Linked DNA regions of Ovis aries. The protein of the gene in region 6 purifies or fractionates together with the protein of the main gene of each other region. This does not show direct contact. Links are inferred from orthologs where the notes say so. Each region holds a gene or a part of one and is shown on either strand. Other genes may lie near its edges.

Region 1 (3,500 bases), on a different chromosome or scaffold from region 6:
CGAACACATACACACAATAAGAAACACTGCAACATTTTGGGGCACCAGAAAAACATGTGGTTTACACTTTAAAAGGATCACTCTGGCTGTTGTGCAGAGATAAATCTCACATATCCAAAAGGTAGCAGATGATTAGAGACGAATAAGTGTCTTGTTCAGGTTCATCCAGTACCATTAAAGAAGACACAGTATCTAGAATTAACAGCCGAGTGGGAAGGCTCCATTAGGCACTACTATAGGATAAAACATCTACTCACTCTTCTCCATTCTATACTTTCAAATTCCAGTTTAATCACTCAGTTTCCTCATGGCACACAGAACATATGTGTTTCAAATAGTGACCATGAGAATTACAGCTGGTGGAAAGGCAAAGTCCCAAATCTTTGTAAATGAACTAAAAATGCCTTCTGATTCAGCAATGAGTATCTTGTGCCCTGGGACTTCCCAGGTGGTGCTTGTGGTATAGAACCTGCCCTCCAACGCCTGAGATTCATGAGATGCAGGTTCAATCTCTAGATTGGGAAGACCCCTGGAGGAGGACAAGGCAATCCACTACAGTATTCTTGCCTGGAGAATCCCACGGACAGGGGAGCCTGAAGGGTTACAGTCCACAAGGTTGCAAAGAGTGGGACACAACTAAAGCGATGTAGCATGTGCAAGCATGCACACATCTTGTGCCCTAGACCAGCATCACTATAGTTCTGGCAGTAAAACTGGGTTTTGAACCTACAGAGCTCAAGCTGAGACTTTCCCTGCCATGTGGAAGCCCAGTAGAAGACCTGGAGAGAGGGCAGGCTCTCTTTGTTACTGACATGTGCCCTGCAACACAGACTGCTCCAGGAGCTCTCCTAAGAGACAAAGCTCTCTTAGGAGCAGATATGACAAAGTTATGTGCAATCTGCAAAATGTAACTTTCATAGACATCTGTCCAATGCCTAATTCATATTATACTATTGCTAATCTCATGGTGACCAGAATGCCAGGTAGGAGAACAGGACATGGGTGGTGCTTTCCTACATCTAATCAAAACATGCTTTGCCCTTATTAGCTTAAGCTCAGTGTTTGAAAGGAAAACAAATGAATGCCATTAGGAAAATACTTGCCTAGCTCAATATTCTACTGTACTTTACCTGGTTAACTTGATTCTGCAGAGATGTTAGAAGGCCTTCTCGTTGTTCATCTTGTCCCTTAAGGCAGGTAAGGACCAGTGAGAGGAATGGTTGTTGACTCAAAAGAGACATACTATAAAGGAAGTAATAACAGCAGATCTAGTTAGAAAGAACAGATTCCTTCCTGTGCAACACTGATTTCCTGCCCTTGGGTTACTGGCTCTTATTCATTTTACTATTAGAAAAGGGAGGGAAGTAGCAAATAGCCAAGACTACTTGAAAAGTTAAATCATATCTCTAACTAATAAGGTTTAAAACCACTGTAATGCTTCTAAATAATTTAATATGTTCTCTTGCCCTTGAAGGCATCTGCAAACGAGCATAAATTCATACTGCATCTGAGCGGGGGGCGGGGAAGGAAGAAGAAAATGTATGGTTTGTATCAGTAAACTGAATTTAAAGATACATAGCAGGAAGAATATCACTGTATACACAGAAAAAAAGAAAAACTTTTAAACTTCTCTCACGTAGTATTTGCATTTTGTTGTTGTTTAGTTACTAAAGTCACGTCTGATTCTTTGCAATCCCATATGCTTTAGCCCACTAGGCTCCTCTGCCCATGAAATTTTTCAGGCAAGAATACTGGAATGGGTTGCCATTTCCTTTTTCAGGGAATCTTCTCAACCCAGGGAGTGAAACTGTCTCCTGTATTGCCATAGATTCTTTATCACTGAGCCACCATTCTTATTTACAGTCCAGGAAACAGGCCTATTAGGATTGTTGTGCTTGTGTTGTTTTTCAGCACATTTCTCAAGGCCAATTAGATGGGCATGAGTAGAACTGAGATGAGCACCGAGGTCTAAGGCCTCCAAAACCATTCTGCTGGCCAGTGACCTAGTGCACAGCTCCACTACATCCCACAGGCTTGACTTGTAAAAGAGTTTTAAGATATTTGATTTTTAAAATTTATTTTAAATTGGCATTTTAGCCTTATTTCTTACATGATCAGAAACACCTGACATATTGATAAACTAATTTTTCTACACTGCAAAGAAAGATTTCTTAAAATGAGATGGAGATCAAAATATTTCAGTCCGCTTCATTTTACACTAGCAGAGCTTAGAGAGACTAACTTAGGAAGAGCCACCTTCAATCTCTGCAGTACCATCTAGGATTCCTGTGGGAAGTGAGGCAACGTACATGCCATCGTTAGCCAATCAACTGTGAGAATTAAAACTGAGTTATCTGGTTGGTTAATAAATACTGGCAAAGGCGATGAAGCAACCAGATGCCAAGCAACATATGTGCAAAGCTAGGCCAAAACCAAAATGTGCTTCAGTTAAGAGCATAGACTCAGAGGCCAGACCACCTGGGTTTCAGCTTCACACCTTCGTAGCTATGTGTCCTTGATAAATTTACTTAACTTTCTAGTGCCTCAGTTTCTTCTTCTGTAAAAAGGACATAATGAAAGCACCTCAGTATGACTGCTGGGAGATTTTAAAACTTCACATATGTATGTAATGAATTCTATATTGAGGATGACATTTCATAAGGCCTTAGTAAATGGCAGCTACTGATTAGGTCATTAGAAATCATTACCGACTAGGGCATAAGAAACCCAAAATGTTCAAAAGGCTCAGAGTTTTTATTTTTCAATGTTAGGAATTTCCTTTTACCTCTGAGGTACTAAATTCATCATGGTTTTACATTAGAATGTGTTTATGTTCTTTTTCAGTAACATAATCATTTTTCTAATATAATTACTTAAACCTTTTCCAGGCCACAAAACTTAAAAAACATTCAACTTGGAAGACTCAACTTGGAGGATCCTATATATTAGGATCTAGCCTAATATATAAGCTAGAACAAGAGCCCTAAATGTTAAAAATATTAGTAACTTATTTCAGGGTGCAGCATAATAGAAGTATAAATTATTCCATGAAATTCAAGTGCCTAAATAAAAAGAAAAAAACCCAAACAACTGCTGAATACAGGGACTGTGGATATACACACCTGATTCAGCAGGCCTGAAGCAGAGCTGAGAAGTCAGTATTTTAATAGTGCAGCAGTGATTAGGGTACACAGGCAGAATTGAATGCTGCTGCTGCTGCTAAATCACTTCAGTTGTGTCCGACTCTGTGCAGACCATAGACGGCAGCCCACCAGGCTTCCCCATCCCTGGGATTCTCTAGGCAAGAACACTGGAGTGGGTTGCCATTTCCTTCTCCAATGCATGAAAGTGAAAAGTGAAAGTGAAGTCGCTCAGTCGTGTCCAACCGTCAGCGACCCCATGGACTGCAGCCTTCCAGGCTCCTCCGTCCATGGGATTTTCCAGGCAAGTGTACTGGAGTAGGGTGCCATTGCCTTCTCTGGAACTGAATGCTAGTGCAT
Region 2 (3,500 bases), on a different chromosome or scaffold from region 6:
AGAAATATTTAATTACTAAATTTTTTTGTTTTCTCTTTCGTAATTCTTCTGCTCCCTGGACTATGAAGCCAGGGGGTGGGTCTCATCCATGCCACCCCTGGATGTCAAGGGTTGGGTGGCTGAGAACTCGACCTGGACTCCTGAAGCTGGGGGCAGCATTGAACTTGATTTCAGTTATGTAACGGAAAACAGCTGCTCACAAGTGTGGGCGCTTCCAGACACGGGATTCAGGCGACTGCTGGAGAGCGGTGAGGGCTGTCGTCTTCTGAGGCAGCCCACTGCCCTAGAGCTCAGCAGCTAGTACTTGTGGTCCGTGCTCACACGATCGACAGCAACCAAGAAAAGCAAATGGGGCAGTGTTCGTTCGTTTTCATCATGTCTGGAGGCCGGGAGCCTTGGGGCAGTTTGATCTTTAGCCCCACGAGTTGAGTGGACGCTGTCCAGGCCATGCCCTTCATTTCTGGAGACCATCTGCATCCACGGAAAGGGAGTCAGAATACTCCCTGCCGATGGCGTCCCCATTTCTGCCTGGACTGGGTGAACATGATCATACATTCAAGTAGCTGTTTGTAAATGTCCTTGGGAGAACAAGTGTTCAGAAGGGTAGGAACTTTGACCCAAAGTCTCTGACTGACCTTCTCAGGGGGACCAAGGTGTGGCTTCTGGCTCACCTGAAATGAGCTAAGTTGATGGACCGCAACAGTTCAGACTGCTTCCCCATGTCACAAGGTCGCAGAGCTTCTATAAAACACACTGGGTCAAGTTCATCACCAGCCTGCCCGTGGTTAAGGTACAAAACCCTGTCACGGATGCCGTGTCGTGTGTTCCACTGACCTCTCACGGCAAAGTCAGTGCCTGGTAATTGATGCGATGACCTGACTTGAGTCTCTGCCAATGATGTCCCCTCGGATGGAGGCGACCCGCCTGCATCCCCAGGGACATGGATGGTTTGATCACCACCGCAGTCTGTAGCTGTGCTTAGGTGTTTAGACCAGCTTTCGTGAAAAGTGTGTTTCTCTTGACACACAGAAAACAAGTCACTTCCCAGGGTCGGGCCTGCCTCGGCACCATGTCACAGCTTTCTTCGGTCACATCGAGATTCTCCACGCCACAAATAAATAAAGCTAACTGGGTGGTGATAGTTCATGAGCAGCGATAGTAAAGGCCACGACTGATCTGACTCGGTCAAGCAACTGGATGTGTCGATCTTCAGGTTTCTCTTCCCCTCCCACGAGACGCGGATGCCTGCTGGACTCAGACGATGGTCCAAGCAGACGAGGGTTTCTGTCCGGGGGGCGTCTCTTCGGCTCCCTTATAAACTGGATGTCCGTGGGCTGGAACGCCCGGGTGATTCGCGCCATGTGGCTCCTGAGCCTCGAGCGGCAGCCACGCCGCTGCTCCCGCCGGCTTTCCGAAACCGGCCCTACTGACACTTGAGGCCCTTCTTCAGTTCATTGAGAATTGCGTCTCGCGTCTGCTCCGTGTACTGGTCGAAGCTCTTACTGTGCTTGGATTCATAGTGACGCTTCAGGTTGTATTCTTTCAACACAGACACGATTTTTTTGCATATTAAGCACGTAGGCATGCTCTTCACCTCCACAAAGAAATAGGCTCGCTCCCATTTCTCTCGAAACACGTGGCCCTCTCGTTCTCTCTTTCGTTTTGCCACTTTTGGTAGAGACATGGGTACAAGAAAGATTTCACTGTCTCCGAATACTACCCCGGGGACACCAGCCGTGCCAGCCCTGTGGCGAAGGCGACAGCCTTCTGCCTCGTGGTGTGGGGGTCAGGAGGGAGTGGTGGGGACTGTGGCGAACCAGAGAGCACACGCCCCGTGCAGAGGGACGGCTCCAGCCCGTTGTTTGCTGGGCGGGAGGGTGGACCCAGGGGAGCCAGATCTTCTGACTTGTCAAGAGAAGACAAGACTACAGATTTTGTGTGTGTATGTGTGGGTGTTTGAGAGAGAGAATCATCCTGATTTTTACAACTAACTCATTAGGGAAAAAAATGCCACATAGCCTAACACAGGGAAGGCCAAACAAAACTCATCTGTAGAGTGGCCCAGGGGCCACCAGATTGCAACCTCTCTCCTGGGAGGGGATCTGGGCATCTGATCCTAACAGGCATCTCAAACAATGCGGACACTGGTGGTCCACCTCTAGACCACACTCTGAGCATCACTGCTCCGGGGTCAGTCTGACAACAGACAACTAAGTCTCTGCTCACAGGCCAGAGCAGCTGCCCCTTGGATGTCTCCCTAGGGACAGCCTCGGGCCCCTTGCCTCGTTACACCCCAAACCTGTATCTCCTCCTCACATCCCCACCGTGTCTCCCATCACTAAGACGGCCTCACTGTCCACTCTGTCCAAAGCCCCAGAAGCCTGGTCTCTGACTGCTCTTGCCACGAGACCTCTTCCGTTCCTGTGTCTTCAACCACCAAGCACACACGCTGCGCTAAGGACACACCCTGGGCTCCCAGCGTGGCCTCGGTCCCTCCGATGTCCCAGACCATCAGCGATCACCACTGGCTCCTTCTCCCGGCTCCTGCCTCAGGAAGGCCCGCCGTCTACCAGCACCCAGGCCAGGTCCTGGGGACCACCCTTGACCCCACCCTACACCCGCAACTTTTTCCACATGGGCACGCCAGTTTCTGGCCTCACCCCTCCTGCCCCCCAACTCTGGCCGCTCCTCTGTGCTCTCCCTCCCCACGAACATCACCCTCGGCTCCTCCCTGCCTCCTATCTTGCCCCATCACATCCCGCAGCCCACAGGGGGCTGACACCCAACCGACCCGGGCCTGGCCCCCGGGCCTGGCCTCCTGCAGCCATTCCGCACCCCCCGGACAAGCCTCCAGCTGCTCAGTTTGGAATCTGAGCTCCCTCCCCGCCTCTCCAGGCCCTCCTTTCCCACCAAAGGCTCGTGCTCCCAGAGGCCTCAGCTGACTTGTCCTCTGACCATACCAGGCTTCCTCCTGCCTCAACACGTTCCTGTCATCTCGGCACCTAGACTGTAACCACCTTCCCTCACGGCCTTGCTGACTGCCGCTCACAGACCCCAGCCTGGCTGGCCCACAGGCCTCCTCTGGGCCTGCCTGGTACCCTCTCTACCTCCATAGGTGCTCGTGGTCCTATGACCTCTGCCTACAGCCTCCTCACCTCCCGGAAGCCAGGCTGTACCAGATGGCCTCACTCACCGCTGAGGCCCCGGCCTCACCAGCCCGGGGCCTCAGGGGCGTCTGTTGAATCGAGAACAAGGGCAGAGGTGTCTCCCCCCATCTCCTCCTGCCCAGTCCTGGGGGATGTCAGTGACGGGAGCCGGGGCGTGTGTTAAAAGGAACTTTATTGGGTGTCGGGGTTCAGATGAGGTCCATGAGGATGTCGTCCTCCATGACGCTGGGCTGCAGGCCCGGCTGGGGGACCGGGCCCCGGGGCCCCCCGCTGAGCAGCATCTGACCTGGGGGGCAGTGGGAAGGGACTGCATCTCCCGGTGGTCCCTGGGGC
Region 3 (3,500 bases), on a different chromosome or scaffold from region 6:
AGTCCTAAAAGAATTTCTTTTCTTTATGACTGCTTAGCAATGGCAGTCGAGACTGGTCTCCTTCCACCCAGGTATGGTTAATGATGAATATGAACAATCTGAAATATTTTCTTTTTTTTTAATTAACGTTTAGAAATTGGTTGAGGTGATTGTTGTAAAAGGATAAGAGAATAAAGAAGGCAGTTACAGTCAACAAAAAGTGCTTCGTAGTATCTCAGTTTTAATTTCGAGGATGCAGTATTCTTAAAATTGTATACTTCAGGTGCTCAAAACCAGGCAGGCTTTGCCTTTTAGCCCAGGGATTAAAATCACTCACTTTGACAAGCTTTTCTAGGTAGTGTTTGTTGTATTTGTTATAGTCACTTGTTTGTTGAATTTTTTAGATTCCACATATAAGTGATGTCATATAGTATTTGTTGTTCTCTGTCTGACTTATTTTACTTAGCATAATACTCTAATAGTCTGTCCATGTTATTGCAAATGGCAAAATTTCATTCTTTTTTTATGGATGAGTAGTACACTGTGCGGAGAAGGCAATGGCACCCCACTCCAGTACTCTTGCCTGGAAAATCCCATGGATGGAGGAGCCTGGTAGGCTGCAGTCCATGGGGTCGCTAAGAGTCGAACACGACTGAGCGACTTCACTTTGACTTTTCACTTCCATGCATTGGAGAAGGAAATGTCAACCCACTCCAGTGTTCTTGCCTGGAGGATCCCAGGGACGGGGGAGCCTGGTGGGCTGCCGTCTATGGGGTAGCACAGAGTCAGACACGGCTGAAGTGACTTAGCAGTAGCAGCAGTAGCAGTATACTGTGTGTGTGTGTGAGATTGAGAGGGACATCTTTATCCATTCATCTGTTGAGGGACACTTAGGTTGCTTTCTTATCTTGGCAATTATAAATAATGCTGCTATGACCATTGGGATGTGTGTATCTTTTCAGATTAGTGTTTTTGTATTTTTTAGTTATATACCCAGGAGTGAAATTCCTGGGTCAGTTCCAGTTAACTTTTGCTGCATGATGAATTGCCTCAATACTTCATGGCTTAAAACAGTAATAATCCTTTTATTATTAACATTCACAATTACAGTGCTTGCTTGGACAAGGAGTAGGAAGGATTTTCTCAGGTTTTGTGTTTGCAATCGGATGGTGGCTATGACTGGAGTCATGACAAAGATTTCCCCATTCATATGCCTAACTGTCACCTGAGAGACATCAGCTGGCACTATTGGCCAGAACCTGCATATGCCTTCTCTGTGTGACCTTGACTTTCTCACAGTGTAGTGGAGTCTAGGAGCAACCATTCATAAGAGGGCTAGGCAGAAGCTGTATCACTTTGCCTTGAAAGCCTTTCCATTTGCCAGTCTTGGACCTGCCCAAACTGAGGGATAGATTTTTGTTTCTACCCTTTTGACATTGATACTCTTCCTGGGAGGAGCATCAATATCACATTTTAGAAGAGCACGTGGGGTCGAAAGTCTTATTGCAGCCATCTTGGAAAAACACAGTTTGCCACTAATTGGTTAATGATACACATTTAACCAATAGCTTTTGGTACATTTCTTTCTAGCAAAAATATAACATAATTAATATTAGTTCTACTTTGGAGAAGGCAATGGCACCCGATTCCAGTACTCTTGCCTGGAAAATCTCATGGACGGAGGAGCCTGGTAGGCTGCAGTCCATGGGGTTGCGAAGAGTCAGACACGACTGAGCGACTTCCCTTTCACTTTCATGCATTGGAGAAGGAAATGGCAACCCACTCCAGTGTTCTTGCCTGGAGAATCCCAGGGACGGGGAAGCCTGGTGGGCTGCCGTCTATGGGGTCGCACAGAGTCGGGCACGACTGAAGCGTCTTAGCAGCAGCAGCAGTTCTACTTTAGGACTTCCCTGGTGGCTCAAGACGGTAAGGAGTCTGCTTTGGGTTTAGTCCTACTCTGGGTTAAGTCTTTCATATAAATAAAAAATATAAAATGCTTTATGTAATTTTTTGAAAGTGTGCTTGAGTAATGTACCTTTATGACAATTATTAGCACTTACTGTGACAAATATAATATCCAGAGTTTGTGGACCTTGGCTATTAGAGAACTTACAAAACTCCTGTCTTGTAACTGGAATGGGTATTCCTTTTTTTCTAGGATGGTTTGTGAATCCCTGATAAACTCTGACACACTTGAATGGGAAAGAACACAGCTTTGGGCCTTAACATTTAAACTGGTTCGGAAAATAATTGGAGGGGTGGATTACAAGGTATTGTTTTTTCTGATTATAAAAAGTAATCGCTGTCAGATACTAATTTTTCAGGGTCTATTAATTTCACAGAAGAGAAATGAAGTGGAAGCATTTATAAAATCTGTCTCTTTTTTGTTGTATTTCCTGAAAGAGTTTAAAATTGCCCAGTGTTTCCCACAGCTCTCTGCTCCTCTCCCAACAGTCTTAAAAGTGCAGGTGGCTGGTAAACTTCTGTGACAAATAGGGAGTCACCAGGCAGACTCGGTTCTCTCATGCCACAGATCTTATGATCGTGGGGCCCCTGTCCAGTGGAAAGGCAAAGAGCAGGGAGGTGTGGAACTGAGAAGGGATGCAGGCATCAGCTGACAAAGGGAGCAAGTCCTGCTTCACCTTGGCCACCTTGGGCACTGTCATTCCTTAACTGGTATCTTCAGCACTCTGCTCTTGACCAAAACCAATAGCACACACACTCTAATTGTGTCTCATAACACAGCTCAGGAGCTCCACAGCTGCAGAAGCTTCTGCTTCATTCAAGCCACTTTGGTTATTGTCTCTTGAAAGACTTGTGGATACCTGACCCTGTGCATTATATCTGTATTTTCACTGATCTCAAATGGTTTAACTGATAATTATTGGCCAGAGTCATGATATCGTACAAAATTAGTTCTAAGAAGCCTTTTCTGATTATTTTCTATTTACTTGTACTTCGCTTTCCTTAGCAGGTTAATATGTAGTTTTGTACAAATAAGCACCTTATTTGTATGGTGCTTCATAATTGTTTCTTTCATGTATATGTTCTGTCTTTTACAAGACTGATCACATAGTTTATACTATGGAATGAAATGTCTTCCCTGTGTATTAGATTCTGCTTTGAAATCATGCAACTGGTAATAGATCTGAATAGATGACCAGTTAGCAGAATAGCCTTATTGGCTAAGTTTGAGGGGTTAAAATATGTGATGGATGATGAGAAAGAGGGAATGAAGTTAGAATATATACCAAAAGGAAGGTGCAGAAAAGGTTGTCTGCCAAAAAGTTGAATATTTATTGTCCATGTTTTTCAGAGTATTTTCAAGTTCTTCCAAATATATTTTTGTCTGTTAAGCTCAAACTAAACTTTTTGGTCCCTCATAATAATAGAAACTTTTCTAATGTTATAAAGCTGAACGGAATGTGGAAAGTTTAATTTTTATCTATAAGTGATTTCCTTTGTTCATTCATATGGCAAGCCATTCTTTAGATAGAATTCTGCTTTGGAACATGACACTT
Region 4 (3,119 bases), on a different chromosome or scaffold from region 6:
GAATGAGGCAAATCATCAGGCAGAGAAGCCAAGCAATTCTGAATCATCTCAATGACTCGTTCCAGATGCTTTTGAAACCTCTCAGCTGTCTCAAGACGTTGACGTTTCTGCACCTCCATCATGACTCTCAAGGTCTCTCTTGCTTGGTGGGGTCGGTATTCATTTATGAGATGATGTACATGTACAAAAAGCAGCTTAAGATCTTCTAGCTTCTCTTCTCGTTTTATACTCCCAGGGCTCCTTATCAAGATATCTAAGAGGTCTAAGAAATTAATAAGGATAGACATATTGAGTTTTCTCAGTTCTTTCTTGTGATCAAACTGCATAGGATGAAGTCGTTCAATACCCTGACTTTCTAAAGGGCGGATGATAAGATCATCACACTGGAACTGGTTGCCAAACATCATGTAACTGTCCTTTATTGGAGGTGGAGGCTTGGGAGCGAGGCCTTCTTGAATATTTTCATCTGTATACTCCTTGATGTACTGCATCGGAGGGGGTGGGAGGGCACTCACTTGCTGTGGCTCACCCATTGTGGAAGATCAAGAACCTACAGAAATAAACCATCAAACAAAAAATAAGAGGAAAACAAAACATAACAAACACACACACACAAAGAGACCAAAGATTGAGAGTGGAGCTACAAAACAAACCTGTCACATTCAGTGATTAATGACAGAATATTTTCCCTATTCTCCCATGGCTGTTCGGTGCCCAAGACAAAAATTATCTCCGTCATCTCTAAAACTAACATTTACAACAGGGAAAAGCTGCTATCCTTCTCTAATTAGCATTATATACTCAATCATTCAAGTATTTTTCCAGCTCTACTTAACATTTTCATCAGCACAAAAAACTACTGTAGTATACAGCTGACCTTCAAAGCTATGGTTTTTCCAGTAATCATGTATGGATGTGAGAGTTGTACTATAAAGAAAAGCTGAGCACCGAACAATTGATGCTTTTGAACTGTGGTGTTGGAGAAGACTCTTGAGAGTCCCCTGGACTGCAAGGAGATCCAACCAGTCCATTCTAAAGGAAATTAGTCCTGAATATTCATTGGAAGGACTGATGCTGAAGCTGAAACTCCAATACTTTGGCCACCTGATGTGAAGAACCGACTCATTTGAAAAGACTCTGATGCTGGGAAAGATTGAAGGCAAGAGGAGAAGGGGACGACAGATGAGATGGTTGGATGGCATCATCGACTTCATGGATATGAGTTTGAGTAAGCTCCAGGAGTTGGTGATGGACTGGGAAGCCTGGTGTGCTGCAGTCCATGGGATCGCAAAGAGTCAGACACGACTGAGCGACTGAACTGAACTGATATAGCTGATCACTGGACAACATCGTTTTGAACTTGCAAAAGTCCACTCACATGTGGATTTTTTTCAATAGTAAATACTAGAGTACTACAAGATTTATGGGGCTTCCCTGGTGACTCAGTGATAAAGAACCCACCTGCCAGGACAAGAGATGTGGGTTTGATCCCTGGGTCAAGAAGATCTCCTGGGGAGGGAAATGGCAACCCACTCCAGTATTCTTGCCTGGGAAATCCCAGAGGAGCCTGGCGGGCTAGTCCATGGAGTTGCAAGAGTCAGACATGACTTAGTAAATAAGTAAAAACAAGACCCATGTTTGGTTAAATCCTCAGATGCAGAACCACAAATAAGAAGGAATGACAGATACAAAAGGTCAATTCTAAGTTATACTGTGCAGAGGCTGGGCATCCCTAACCTCCCAGTTGTTCATGGGTCAACTATATTTTCATCTATAAGTGAAACAGTCTGGATTCCACACCCCTCACCAGTTATGCCTCATTTCTCTATCCTCTCTACAGCCAAACTACACATGCTGTCTCCCCATCTCCATGTTATAATCACTTGTTTTATATTACAGATTGATTTCCAAAACAAACACCTGTAACTCTAAGGAACACTGACAAAATTAACACTGCTCTAGTCTAAACAAACTCACATCATCTGAGCTTCTGTGATCCAATTCAACTTCTTTTTTTTCTACAATATACTTTACAAATTTTTATAGATTCACTAACTTTTCTACATCCACTACAGAAGTTTCAAACTCAAATATATCTTCAATAACCACAATAACCTCTATCTATTCCATTTTAAGCTTAGGTATATCATAAAATGAGAAGATCCTGAGTGCTCATTTCGACTAATCTTACCAGATTTTCAAGATTTAATTATACAATCCAACATCAGAGATAGCAAGTAATATACTGGAGGCAGATTCATACTTGGAATTTCTGAGTTACTAAGGGCAACTATGGGGCAGTCCTGAGTTTCCACCAACCTATAGTGGTGAACTGGATACTACTGGGAGTCAACTGGATACTGTGATGAGTTACTCTAACTATACCAAGCTACACTTCACTGCTCTACTAGCTTTCTGTTTATCCATTTTTATCAATATCCAATCTGGAATCAACCTCCTTCCTCCACAAATACTAATCAAATTAATCAACAATCACATGACCAAATTCAATGGACATTTTTCTAAGGTGATCTTAATCTCTCAGCACCATTTTCTTCTTTTCAACCAAGTCCCCTTCTCCCTCAGCGTCTGTGATCTTACATTTATGTTTTCCTCCTACCTTACTGGAGGCTCCCTCTCAGTCTCCTTTACTGCTCCTCCTTCTCTATCCAAGTTTTAATGCTGGCATGCATAGAGGAGTGTCCTACAGAGTCACAAACTCAAAAGCCAAAGGGAAAAGACACGGAATATAGAGTTACACATGCAGGGGCAGGGATTAGAGAGAACAGAGCAACTCCAAGCCAGACCTCAAAGCCTCCAGCCACTACCATTCACTCATGAATTAAGATTCACTGCACCTTAGTCTTGATTTTTCAAGAAAGGAAGGAAAAATCCAGATTTTTATGGGGAATTTCTCAGTTTTTAAAAATACTAGCAATTAATTCTGGAATCTGTCAAGTACTGTGAAGTCAAAAAGAATTTATCTCTAACAACCTCTGTGGTCTGCGACCCACTAGTTTTAGGCCTCTGTTTTATGTTCTTCTTGGGATGACCTCAGTCAACTGCATAGCTTTTATTAGCATTTCTATCAGTGGTTCTCGCCCAGGTGTGATTTTTGC
Region 5 (4,037 bases), on a different chromosome or scaffold from region 6:
GGTGTTTACAGCTCTCCAACATGTTTACTTCCAAACGCGACCATCCTTTCTTGATGGGAACAGTGGCCACCGAAGTCCAGTGTTTTATTCCATGAAACTGGTTCGGATCGGTTGAATTCGATCCAGTGAAACCAACAGACCCTCCCACCAGAGACAGATGAGATTCTGGCCTTTATTAAGCATACATGGTGAACACCTAGTCCTGGCTGTACTTGGCAACCCTCCTTCTGTTTTGATTCCCACTCCTCCCAACATGTGTGTACTTTTGACCTACTCTGAGCCGGAGTGAGTGAAGTTGCTCAGTCGTGTCCGACTCTTTGCGATCCCATAGACTGTAGCCTGCCAGGCTCCTCCGGCCATGGAATTTTCCAGGCAAAAGTACTGGAGTGGGTTGCCATTTCCTTCTCCAGGGGATCAGACGCTTTACCATCTGAGCCACCAGGGAAGCCCACTCTGAGCTCGACTCCTGATCTATTCGAGCGACCTTGTCCTGTCTACAAATGGACAGGCAATAAGATGACTTTAACCCAGAAGCAGCACCTCAGCAAGGGAAATGAAAACATCAGAAGCCAAACTGATGTAAGGTGTGGCGGCGGCGGTGGTTAGGAGACTGAGTCCCACTGAGGCGGGTTGCACGCCCCCCAGGAGGCGCAGGTGGGCCCCACCCCAGCCCCGCGGGGCCGCGCACGCCGGCCGGAGGGAGGGGCCAGATGAGGACCAAAAGTCTCCAAGCGCAGCTCTTCCTTAGGAGCGGGAGCTGTTCTGAGTGAACCTCCGGCCGTGCCCTCCTCCAGGGGATCCTCCCGACCCAGGGATCCAACCAGAGGCTTCTGTGTCTCCTGCAGGCAGATTCATTACCGCTGAGCAACTGGGAAGTTCTATCATCAGATACCCACCCAAAATAAGTTTCTGTTTTACGACAATCTCTCCTCTTTTTCTGAAGCTCTCTTCCCCAGGGTCTCTTTGTCCTTTCAGGTCCAAGAGATTTCCTGGACAAAAACACGTCCAGGTCTTCACAGTTGAAAAAAATATTTTCCTGGAAGATGGCGTATGACTGCAATGCCGCCTGAATCTCCCAAAGGACCCCTCCTAAGGAGGCCGCCATCTTCCGTGCAGCATCGGAGTTTGCGCATGCGCCCCTGCTTGCCGTACAGCGGAAGAGACTTTTTTTGTCCTCTCGGCACCCTTACGTCGCAGAGTGGCGGTGTCGAGGTTTGCGCGACGAAAGGTTTTTGTCAGACGTGGGAAGAGGCGAGAGAATTGTTGCACTGCCTAGGGGTTTTCAAGTTTAGGGCTGGGGGTGGTGATTGTTGCTCGAAAGCTCCGAGGTGCTCGGGTGAATACGGTCCCCCGCTTTCCTGGAAGAGGCTGGAACGCGCTTGGCGGTGTGTTTTTGGTATAAGTGGGCACGTTTTGATGCTGGGTTTAGGAGGCCCTAAAGCATCATTGGGGCTTCCCTAGTAAACTCAGACGGTAAAGCATCCGCCTGCAATGCAGGAGACCCGGGTTTGATCCCTGAATTGGGAAGATTCCCCCGGAGAAGGAAATGGCAACCCACTCCAGTATCCTTGCCTGGAAAGCCCCATGGATAGAGAAGCCAGGCCTAAGTCGATGGGGTCACAAAGAGTCGGACACGACTGAACGACTAACACAAAGCATCAGTGGAAAGAACTTCGTGCTTTCGCTTCAATCTCTTTAAAAGGTTTTTAGAGAGGTGGAACGCCTAGATTTTAGTCTGGTATAGGTTCTGCCACCCACCTATTGTGTGTCCTTAGGCTCCTCCCCAAGCCTCAACATCCTCATCTGTAAATTGAAGGGCATACAAGAGTCCTTAAGTCACTTTTCAGTCTTTAGTTGCAGGTCCATTATGTCATCTGAGCCACAAAGACTTGGGGGTTAATATCATGGCCTCATTTTAGAAGAAAGACATTGAGTCCCAGGGTGCACAGAAAACCATTGAAGGGTTTCAGACCTTGAGACTGAAAGATTATGCTGTAACTCCATGATCAGGCCTCCTTTGTGTATTTCTGGATCACCTGAAACTGGCCTATAGCAGTTACTAAAGTTTTGAATGGGTGGATGAATGAATTTTCATCTCCAGGCCAATGACCCAAGCAGATCTGGTCTCTCTCTGCCTCTCCCATGTATTAACAAGTATAACTCTTCCCCAGGTGTATCCTGTGTGTTACCTGACTGGGGATTCCAAATCTAGTTCTGTCGTTTTCAACTTAAACAGATAAACATGGAGGCACCTCCAGTCACCATGATGCCTGTCACCGGGGGCACCATTAACATGATGGAGTACCTGCTGCAGGGTAAGTGAACTAGGGAGCTTGAATTACCTGTTTTCCTGTTTTCTGTTCCGCTTTCCATGGAGATGAGAGGCTGTTATATAAAAGCTACCTGCATAATTTCTGGCACCCTTTTATTCCCCAATTTACTTTTAATTATGGTCACAAATACATAACATTAAGTTTACCATATTAAACATTTTTAAGCATACAGTTCAGTAATGTTAAGTATTTCACATTGTTGTATAGCTAATCTCTAGAACTTTTTCATCTTGCAGAATTGAAATTCTATTCCTGTTAAACACTAATTCCTCCTTTCCCCTTGCCGTAGGCCTTGGCAACAACCTTTCTACTTGATGTTTCTAATTTTGACAACGTTAGATAACCTCATAGGAGTGGAAGCATTCAGTATGTGTCTTTTTATGACTGGCTTATTTCACTTAGTATAATATCCTCAACATTAACCCTTTCGCATGTAAGAGAATCTCCTTTTAAAAATCTGAATAATGTTCCACTGTATGTACATACCATATTTTCTTTATTCGTTTGTCTGTCAGACATTTGGATTGCTTCTACCCAAATTGTTATCATAGATAATACTCAGTGAACATGAGTGTGCACATACCTCTTCAAGATCCTGCTTTGGATTCTTTAGGAGTGAATGCCCAGAAGTGAGATTAATAGATCATATGGTAATGTTATGATACTGTTATTAGTTCCATCTTCTAGATCAGGAAATAGAAGTGAAGTAACTTTCCCAGATGAGAAAGCTCAAGACCAGGGAGGGTTATGATTTTCTGGAGGTCATTTAATCTTTAGTGGAAGAATTTAGACTTTAATTCAGATCATCCGTTTAGTAACTTACAATGGACAAAATAAAATTGTTAATTGCACTCCTCAATCTGCCTCTACTTCAGCCTTTCCCATCTCAGTAAGTGCCGCTGTCAGTCATCAGTTGCTTAAGCCATGCATTCAGGAATCAATCTCAGAGAAAAGAAAATAGAGTCTATGGGGTTGCACAGAGTCGGGCACAACTGAAGCGACTTAGCAGCAGCAGCAGCATGGCATGCAGGATCTTAGCTCCTGAACCAGGGATGAAACCTGGGTCCCCTGCATTGGGAGCACCAAGTCCTAACCACTGGATGACCAGGGAATTCCTGTGAACAGTCAGCCTAGATTTCTAGATCTAGTCATCTAGATGTCTGTTTCTGACCTTTTGCCATATTTGCTCTATCTTTTTCCTTTTGCCGTTTTTGAAGACAGATTCAGATCTCGTAACATTTTACCCCCAAACACTTTCAGTATTCATCTCTAAAAAAGCAAGCGTATTTTCCTTAATAACCCCAATACTATCATTATTACCTGAAAGAGTCATAGTATATTTCTGATATCATCTAATATATAATTCATATTCAGAAGTTTCCTCCATCTTGTGTTTTGATCCAGGGCATAATATCATCTCATGCATTACATATGAAAACCGTGTCTCTTAAGCCTTTTTTAACTTGGACCCGCCTCCCCTCATTGCCACTTTTTTTCATGTGACCCTGTCTGGTTGAAGCATCCATACCAATTTTCCTAGAATGATCTTTTTAAAATGTAAATCCAGTCATATCTTTCCTTGTTGCATGGAGAATAAAGTGTGGAGCTAATAACTGCCCAGTGGCCGTACAATAAAATACAGCCTTTAGCATGGGCGACACATAAGTCCTGCCTGCTTTGGCCCATCCCAAATGCTCATTTCAT
Region 6 (3,500 bases):
TGCAAAGAAATGAACTGACTTTTTTCCTCATAGCCAAATCAGCTGCTGATATTAGATATTCACCTTCTTGTATCACCATTCAAACATCTTAAGAAATGAAGACTACCACAATGCAAAAACATTTATTAGAGTAAATAAGTAAAATTATTTAACAGACTAGTCTTCTGTCAACTATTCTATCATGCTGAGTATTCAATCTTATCCTGAGTATTCTAGAAAAGCAAAAATCAACAGTCTATTTTCTTGCCAACTTACGTATTTCTTCTGAAATCTTTCATTAATGTTGAATGTTCAGGCATCTTTTTTATATCTTCCCAATCTTTATCTGTGAAACACATTGATACAATTTTATATTGTCTAGGTTCCTATTATTAAGAACTTTAATAAAGGTGACTTCACTTCTCATTACATGTCCTACATTTTAACCTCCCTGAAAGCACAGACTTCGAATAAATGGTGAGCTGCAATAAACATCTTTAACTGTAAATGCATTCTCCATATGCTGTTTTTAAATGTCTATTTTCTCTATGTTTTACTATAAGTTATCTCAGTTTTTATACTAAGACACCAACAAGTTATAAACAAATATTTCCATTATTAAATACTTTTATTTTTATCTGTAAAACCACTTTTGTCCCACCATGTCTTGGTTAATCCAGCAACCAATCTTTTCAACAATAAATGCAGTATCTTCCCCCTCAGCAGCTGTAAGCTGTCCTTTTTATACGGCCCTCCTTACGCTCCCCTTATTAAATACACTGCTTTACATGGTAATCAAGGTAAGCAGTTACAGCTGTCTGAAACACAGAGTCGGATGTACTAGCATATGAACAAGTCAGCTAGTATCTGGGCTAGTTTCAATAATAATAACAAAAGCAATCCCAGCTACCAGACCCATCAGGTGGAAACATCTTGGTCAGTTTTGCTGACATTAGAGTTACTCAAACACCACACGCGGTTTGAGAAGCTTGCTGTGTCCATTGGAGGAGTTACTGAGAGTCCACAGGTGCCCACATTCTCTACCAGGTAGCTTCATGGCACCTCAGCTTTTAAATGACCTCCAGAGGTTAGCTTCTCTCTCAACTGGCTTATAAAAATATCTGCTATCTAGCCTCCAGATACCACATATTGTAAACTAAATACATACTTTAAACTCCTAAGAGGAATTTTCTCCTTGACTACTTCCTTGTTCCAATTTCTTTATTTCTGTCAATTTCTCAAGTAGAAATCCTAAGATAATCTTTTATTTTTTTCTCCCAATTACAGGCTTACTCTAAAAAATTATACCATTATCCTTTCTTCTCCATCCAAATCACTTTACACGTGGAGTACTGCTGCAGGTAAAAGATGGTTTCCTGACTTCAGTTACCCCTCTTAAATTTTTACATACCCCTGCCATAGAAACCATTCTAAAGTAGAACACAAATCACAGCACTAGTTCTCAAGAACTTATCACAGATTCTCCTTCTTTAGCACATCAAATCTAAATTCTATTGCTTGGTTTTCAGATTCCCTATAAGCAGATCCCAAACGTGGAACCACGCCCTAAGAACCATTTCAGAACCATCTCCTGTGGAGGCCACCCCTCCTCCAAGGCCCTGTAAGTCAGGCTCCTTCCCCGGGGGACCCCTGAATTGATGAGTGCATTCAGAAGTGGGAAGAAAAGGTCATTCTTCTCCATCTACTCAAACTACTCCTATTCTTTCAACATTCTACTTAGAGCAGCTGAGTGTCAACTCCAAGAGGGCAAGAATCACGTCTGTTATATCAACAATATTTTACACTTAACACAGTGCCTGAAACATGGCAGGTGCTCAATAAATCTTTAGTGAATAAATGAAACTCCCATCTCAACAAAGCAATCTTTGTAGAAATGTTGGTCAATTCTGGACAAAGGTAGCTACTTTGCACTTACTGATAATTAAAGGGAATGTGAAATTATAACTCCCAGATATTTCTGTATTAGTTTTGAGCCACTGATCTGAGAAAAATTCCTAATAAGAAACAACGTATTGTTTCTTATTATTATTTCAATAAGTTATTGATATTTTAAATTATTAACATATTTATTAATAATAAACTTATTGTTTATCATTTCAATAAGAAGTACTTGACTAGCCAAAACTATGCAGGCGTTTCAAATGGAGAGTAATGGACTTCTGTTCTGCGGCACAAGGACTGGGCTGGGGCTGGAGCTCTAAAGCCCGTGACGAAATGCCCCAACCACCACCTCCCAGCGGCAGTCAGAGCAGGCTCACTTGCTGTGCAGGGCTGGGCCTTCACTCACATCCTGCCTGTTCTAACTGGAAAGGATGTTCTTACTGACAAGGGTTATAGAGCAAAAAATGCTACGATTCAATACAATGTGTTTCAAGTAGAAACAGTCTTCAAAATCTGTATTCAAATACCAAACAATGACATTATTATTAAGTGCTATCAGACAAAAAGACATGCTCCTGAATTCTATTCAGTTGCCAATGGTGAGAGCTAAAGGCACTTTTTAAACACAGATATTGCAAATATTTTATCATTTTAAATATTAAACAAAACAAAACCAAAAACCAAAATGAAACAAAAATACACTCCTCAAATTCAAGAAACCCATAAATATTTTTATGCTAATATGTGAACTCTACAAATTTTGCTATTTCTAAGGGTCTTTGATTAATGCAAGTCGTAAATATAAAGAACTGAGTAAGAGTAGCTTTCATCAGCTAAAAATACACATCCTTTCAATGAAGACATCTAAGTTCAAACAACAGTGATTTAAAAACAAAAACAAAAATATAATGTGTACCTGCAGGAAATCCCATTACATTGAATATTCTGTCCAGCTGGTCATGGTGATAAGGATTACTAGTTTTGATGTCCTCTTGTCGACAGTGAAATATTGGTTCTGACGTTAGTAGTTCTGCAAATATACACCCTATAGCCCAAATATCTTTAAAACAAAAACAAACAAAAAAAAAGAGAAAAGAAAAAAAAAAAAAAGAAAGGAAAAAAGAAAAAGAAAGGAGGAAAATAAAGTGGTTCTTTCCAAAAGAAAATGCATCTTTATCTTGGCAGGGAGTGTTTTTTCATTCTTTTTCTCCCCTAATAAGTCATATTAAATCCTAAGCAATTATAAATATAAAAAATGTTGTTTGTAAATATATATTCCCACCCCATCCACCCGTATTTCATTCCTTGTTATACCTCCATCCCACCCAGTGGTTTCATTCCAAGTTCAATCAAATTTATTATCTAAAATTTTTGGTGAGTTTAAGTGCTTCAAACATTACCTTATCTGTGAAATACATACAAAGCTGCACACAGGGCACAGGAACCATAAATAAATAAAACTAAACAAACAAACAAAAAAAAACAGAAAACCCAAACAGCCTTGGAAATTGGGCATACTTGCTGAAAACAATCAGCACCGTTTTTTGAGGTAAAAAACATTTTTTATTTTTTATCTAGTTTATGGACTTATTAGCTTGTAAAGTTTAATAATTATCCTC
Region 7 (4,042 bases), on a different chromosome or scaffold from region 6:
ACCTGTTTTGGAGTCCTGGCTCTGCCACTTACTAGCTGTGCAACTTTGTTACTCTTAAAACCTCTGTGCCTCAGTTTCCTCAACTGAAAAATGGGGATAAGTGTCTACTGTGTAGGGTTGAGAGTAATCTTTGACATTGGTAAAGCGCTAAGATGGTCTCTGGGACACAGTAAGCATTCGATAGGTAAGGATTCAATACATGATTATACACCTCTCACCCTTCCCATCCACTCACATGTTCTCCTGTAACATTGGGCAACTCTCCTAGTGATGTTTTCTTTCCAAATCTGACATTTTAGACTTCTAATTACAAAACTCTGCCACTCCCCAGCTGAGAGTAGCACTTGGGTAAGGTACTTCACTTCCCTCGATTTTTAGTTTGTCTGTATATGGAAATGGGTATTGTCACCTTCCTTGCACAAGTCTGAACCACACAATGTATACAAAAGTTCCTTGCATGGTCCTTCGTACTTAATGGATGCTTCATTTGCATTTTCCCATTTAAAACGTGTGATCCTCACAATAGACCTGAAGATAGATATTTTACAAAGAAGGAAACAGGATCCGGGAAGTCAAGATTTGCCCAAAGTTGCACAGATAGCTACAGGGCAGCGCCAATACCAGAACGAGGTTTCACTCTGAATCCAACGTTTTTTCATGAAATCTAAGCTGCTCTCCAATTGCATGAGCGCTAGAACCTAATTAATTTATGCTGTTTATGGCATTCCAATAATATTTGAATGAGGCAGCAACCGGCAAACCTGCCCACTGAAACTGCAACAGAAGATCAAAATACAGATTTTCTGAATGCCATTACGAGGTCAAAGAACCCAAGAGCCCTAGAGTAGAGAATCGTGGATTAAATTTCGGCAAACAAAACTGAGCCACGAATTCCTCCTCTAGGCCTCCCCGAGGAAAGTAGGGGTGAGGAGATGCTACTATTGGGCCTTCAGGAGGGCCAGGCGGCCCCCAGACCCGGAGGAGGCCACGGCCGCGCCTGGCCGCCGGACCCTCCCCCTCGGATCTACAGGCCCAGCGCTGCGCCCGCCCGCCCCTCACCTCCGGCTCCGGGCGCTCCGAGGCCATCACACAGCCCTCCCGCGCCGGCCCGGGCCAGAGAAGATGCTCCGCTCCTGACCCCTGACCCGGAGGTCTCGCGACTGGCGGGGCCGGAAGTGAGTGGGAGGGTCGAGTTCTGAGCTTTCTAATTGGCCTACTTGGGAACCGGAAGAGGAAGTGATTGACACCGCCCCCCGCCGCAGCAATGCAGGTGAGGACCGGTTTGGCGCTAGCGACGGGTAGCTAGCTTGGGGTAACGAGACAGAAAGTGGGCTGGCCGAGGAGAGAGTGAGGAGTTAGGGATGAGAGGACTTGGTCGAGACCGCGACTGTGAGATAAAGGGACGCGCGATGGGGACGAGGACCTCTGGAGAGGGATAGGGGTGGAGCCCGGCTGACAGGAGACAGAAACTGCGGTTAGGTTGGGACGGAGAAGGCAGCACTGTCTTGCTAGGGTGTGGAAAAAGGATCAAGTTGTTGATAGGGTGTGGAAAAGGATCAAGTTGAAATTTGGGAAGGTGCAGTCCAAGGAAGACGGCTGAAGAAAGAGGTGGATTGGGCTCGGGCTCAGGCCCCGGCCTAGACGTTGGATGTTGACAGAACAGAGGATCTAACTGGAGAGAAGCCCGAGGGTGGAAGGAATTGTGGGACCGTGGTGGCCAGAAGCCAGACTAAATAATCTGAGGCCGTGGGTGGAACCCGGCTCGTGTCCTCCACATTCGGGGTTTTGCAGTTCTGTTTCATTCTTCCTAGTGTGTACCCCTAGTAGTTAAAGGGTGAAATGAGATAAAACTGGAGACCCCTCAGCTTTTAATATAGTTTGCCTAGTGCTTAGGGGCATGTGCGGTTTGGTTGCTGTTTTGTTTTGTTTTTCATTTGTCACTGTTTGTTGCAGAAGGGTAGTTGTCAGTACATTTTTATAGGTTGACTAAGCTTGCGAAAGGGGCACAGGAATATTGGCACAGCAATAAAGTGAGTGCAGATTGATTTAGCAAGGAGGAGGTTGAAACAGCAAATGCTGAGGGAAGAGGAAGGTGACGGTGGCAGTATTCAGAGGAGCCTTCCTGTATAGGTAGGTTTTCAGAGATTATGTCATTGCCAAGAACAGCCAGGTTCACAAGGCAGGTTCTAGAACATAGGACGTCAGAGTACGTCTGCTGCTGAGGTGTGCCGAACAGAATAAATCCCAGGCATTACGTCTGGTGAAAATTGTCCAGTGAGGGAGAACAGATACAAACCAAGCCTAATATAGAGAAACAGTCACGCCCGGATTAAAAGCGATGAGAGGAAGGAATCAGTAGGTAAGAGGAATTGAGGTCAGATGAATGGGTTTTAAGGTCTAAGGGTTGATGCTGTCTGTGATCCTAACTCCAAATAGGGGTGGAGCCCGGCTGACAGGAGACAGAAACAGCCTGACTGTCCCTGTGCCAATGAGATTCTGTGTCACTGTCCTGGTGTTGCACACTGTCACCCTGGCTTTTCAGCCTTCCTCTATATGTGTCATCCTTACACTCAGCTGAGTAACCAACCTATTCCTATTGGCTCAGAGGGAGGAAAAACAGCTTGAGGCATCATTAGATGCACTGCTGAGTCAAGTGGCTGATCTGAAGAACTCACTGGGGAGTTTCATTTACAAGCTGGAGAACGAGTATGACCGGCTGACCTGGTAAGAGTTGCCAGGGCAAGCTGGGGAGGGCTCTATGGGTGGGGGCTAGGCCACCTGCTGCACAGGGTACCTCCTCCAGCATTTATCACTTTGTGAACATCTTTTGATTTAGAAAGAGCTGGCTTTCCCAACATTTAACACTGAAGTTGGCCTTGGACCTCAACTTTAAGGGTAGTAGAGAAATGCCCAATTTCTCAACCCAGGTTCTTTCTAGCTTTTGATTCTCCCTGTTTGACTTCTCCAGGATGAGGTCCTCCTGCAGTGGGTCCTCCCACCACAGTATTCATACTGGATTTCTTGCACGGGTTTTGCCAAGTCTTTTAGGTCCAATCTAGGAAAGTTTGGATCTGGAAAGGGATCTTTCACCCGGTTTCTGAAGTTCTAGTGATAATAGTGTAGCCATCGTTCCTATTTTGCCATTGTCCTCACCCCATTCAAATGTAGTAGCTCCTCGTGATCTATCAGGGGTAAGTTCTAAGACCCACTGTGGATTCCCGAAACTATGATAGTACTGAATCCTATTCTGTATATACTGTGGGTTGTTGTTTTTTTTTTTCTATACTACTTGTGTGGGTACCGTATACGGTATGGATATGCTGGACAAAGGGGTGATCAACATCCTGGGTAGGACAGAGTGGGATGAAGCAAGATTTCATCACACTCCTCAGAACACCTCCCAATTTAAAAACATGGATTGTTTATTTCCTGGATTTATCATTTAATATTTTTGGACTGTGGTTGACACGGGTAGACGAAACCTCAGAAAGTGAAACTTAGGATAAGTGGGGATTGCTATAATGACCTGTTTTTTTTCTCCATCTGTGTCAGAAACTCAAAGTGTATCCCTCTTTCTTAACCCCATAATCCCTGCGAGCCAGTCTAGTTCCTGCCCAGGCCAGCATAGGGCTATGAGTGTTTTGGGGGTGAGTCTGGTTATTCCTAGTCCGAGGGACCCCTTTGAGGCTCCTTTACCAGGAACATGCTGACATCTTCTTACCACCACCAGGCCATCTGTCCTGGACAGCTTTGCCTTGCTTTCTGGACAGCTGAACACTCTGAACAAGGTCTTGAAGCATGAAAAGACACCACTGTTCCGCAACCAGGTCATCATCCCTCTGGTGTTGTCCCCAGACCGAGATGAAGATCTCATGGTAAGAGGAGGAGAGGGATGCAGCTTAGGAAACAAAGCCCTTAAATGAGGACTGACAGCACAGTGGTTGGTTTCTATCTAGAAATTTTGAATATGCAGTAGTGTGTGGCAATAAGTGGGGGCTACATTTTGGAGGCCTTGCTTTTTGTCCTTCTGTCCTATTTCAAT

The links.
Region 1: the proteins of CDK8 (region 6) and MED12L purify together in Homo sapiens (affinity purification with mass spectrometry; 3 studies listed by BioGRID and IntAct, counting the BioPlex papers as one, with this or other methods). This does not show direct contact. The link is inferred for Ovis aries from reciprocal best matches to the Homo sapiens genes CDK8 and MED12L.
Region 2: the proteins of CDK8 (region 6) and MED25 purify together in Homo sapiens (affinity purification with mass spectrometry; 8 studies listed by BioGRID and IntAct, counting the BioPlex papers as one, with this or other methods). This does not show direct contact. The link is inferred for Ovis aries from reciprocal best matches to the Homo sapiens genes CDK8 and MED25.
Region 3: the proteins of CDK8 (region 6) and MED23 purify together in Homo sapiens (affinity purification with mass spectrometry; 10 studies listed by BioGRID and IntAct, counting the BioPlex papers as one, with this or other methods). This does not show direct contact. The link is inferred for Ovis aries from reciprocal best matches to the Homo sapiens genes CDK8 and MED23.
Region 4: the proteins of CDK8 (region 6) and MED7 purify together in Homo sapiens (affinity purification with mass spectrometry; 7 studies listed by BioGRID and IntAct, counting the BioPlex papers as one, with this or other methods). This does not show direct contact. The link is inferred for Ovis aries from reciprocal best matches to the Homo sapiens genes CDK8 and MED7.
Region 5: the proteins of CDK8 (region 6) and MED18 purify together in Homo sapiens (affinity purification with mass spectrometry; 5 studies listed by BioGRID and IntAct, counting the BioPlex papers as one, with this or other methods). This does not show direct contact. The link is inferred for Ovis aries from reciprocal best matches to the Homo sapiens genes CDK8 and MED18.
Region 7: the proteins of CDK8 (region 6) and MED8 purify together in Homo sapiens (affinity purification with mass spectrometry; 7 studies listed by BioGRID and IntAct, counting the BioPlex papers as one, with this or other methods). This does not show direct contact. The link is inferred for Ovis aries from reciprocal best matches to the Homo sapiens genes CDK8 and MED8.

The regions. Positions count from the first base shown.
Region 1 is NC_056054.1:237,452,519-237,456,018, forward strand, and holds part of MED12L (mediator of RNA polymerase II transcription subunit 12-like protein), read right to left. Parts: intron 1,243-3,500; coding exon 1,131-1,242; intron 1-1,130. UniProt on the Homo sapiens protein: May be a component of the Mediator complex, a coactivator involved in the regulated transcription of nearly all RNA polymerase II-dependent genes.
Region 2 is NC_056067.1:55,925,195-55,928,694, reverse strand, and holds part of MED25 (mediator of RNA polymerase II transcription subunit 25), read right to left. Parts: intron 3,454-3,500; coding exon of another isoform or gene 3,356-3,453; exon of another isoform or gene 3,322-3,355; intron 1,669-3,321; coding exon 1,424-1,668; 3' UTR 1-1,423. UniProt on the Homo sapiens protein: Component of the Mediator complex, a coactivator involved in the regulated transcription of nearly all RNA polymerase II-dependent genes.
Region 3 is NC_056061.1:57,044,705-57,048,204, reverse strand, and holds part of MED23 (mediator of RNA polymerase II transcription subunit 23), read left to right. Parts: coding exon 1-71; intron 72-1,706; exon of another isoform or gene 1,707-1,905; intron 1,906-2,137; coding exon 2,138-2,249; intron 2,250-3,500. UniProt on the Homo sapiens protein: Required for transcriptional activation subsequent to the assembly of the pre-initiation complex. Component of the Mediator complex, a coactivator involved in the regulated transcription of nearly all RNA polymerase II-dependent genes.
Region 4 is NC_056058.1:66,390,428-66,393,546, forward strand, and holds part of MED7 (mediator of RNA polymerase II transcription subunit 7), read right to left. Parts: intron 551-3,119; 5' UTR 534-550; coding exon 1-533. UniProt on the Homo sapiens protein: Component of the Mediator complex, a coactivator involved in the regulated transcription of nearly all RNA polymerase II-dependent genes.
Region 5 is NC_056055.1:238,803,761-238,807,797, reverse strand, and holds the start of MED18 (mediator of RNA polymerase II transcription subunit 18), read left to right. Parts: upstream 1-1,237; 5' UTR 1,238-1,385; exon of another isoform or gene 1,386-1,396; intron 1,397-2,171; exon of another isoform or gene 2,172-2,236; 5' UTR 2,237-2,242; coding exon 2,243-2,315; intron 2,316-4,037. UniProt on the Homo sapiens protein: Component of the Mediator complex, a coactivator involved in the regulated transcription of nearly all RNA polymerase II-dependent genes.
Region 6 is NC_056063.1:33,370,270-33,373,769, forward strand, and holds part of CDK8 (cyclin-dependent kinase 8), read right to left. Parts: intron 2,942-3,500; coding exon 2,798-2,941; intron 326-2,797; coding exon 256-325; intron 1-255.
Region 7 is NC_056054.1:18,067,155-18,071,196, reverse strand, and holds the start of MED8 (mediator of RNA polymerase II transcription subunit 8), read left to right. Parts: upstream 1-1,242; 5' UTR 1,243-1,264; coding exon 1,265-1,270; exon of another isoform or gene 1,271-2,359; intron 2,360-2,605; coding exon 2,606-2,724; intron 2,725-3,730; coding exon 3,731-3,875; intron 3,876-4,042. Other genes in the region: KICSTOR complex protein SZT2, read right to left, coding at 1,060-1,086. UniProt on the Homo sapiens protein: Component of the Mediator complex, a coactivator involved in the regulated transcription of nearly all RNA polymerase II-dependent genes.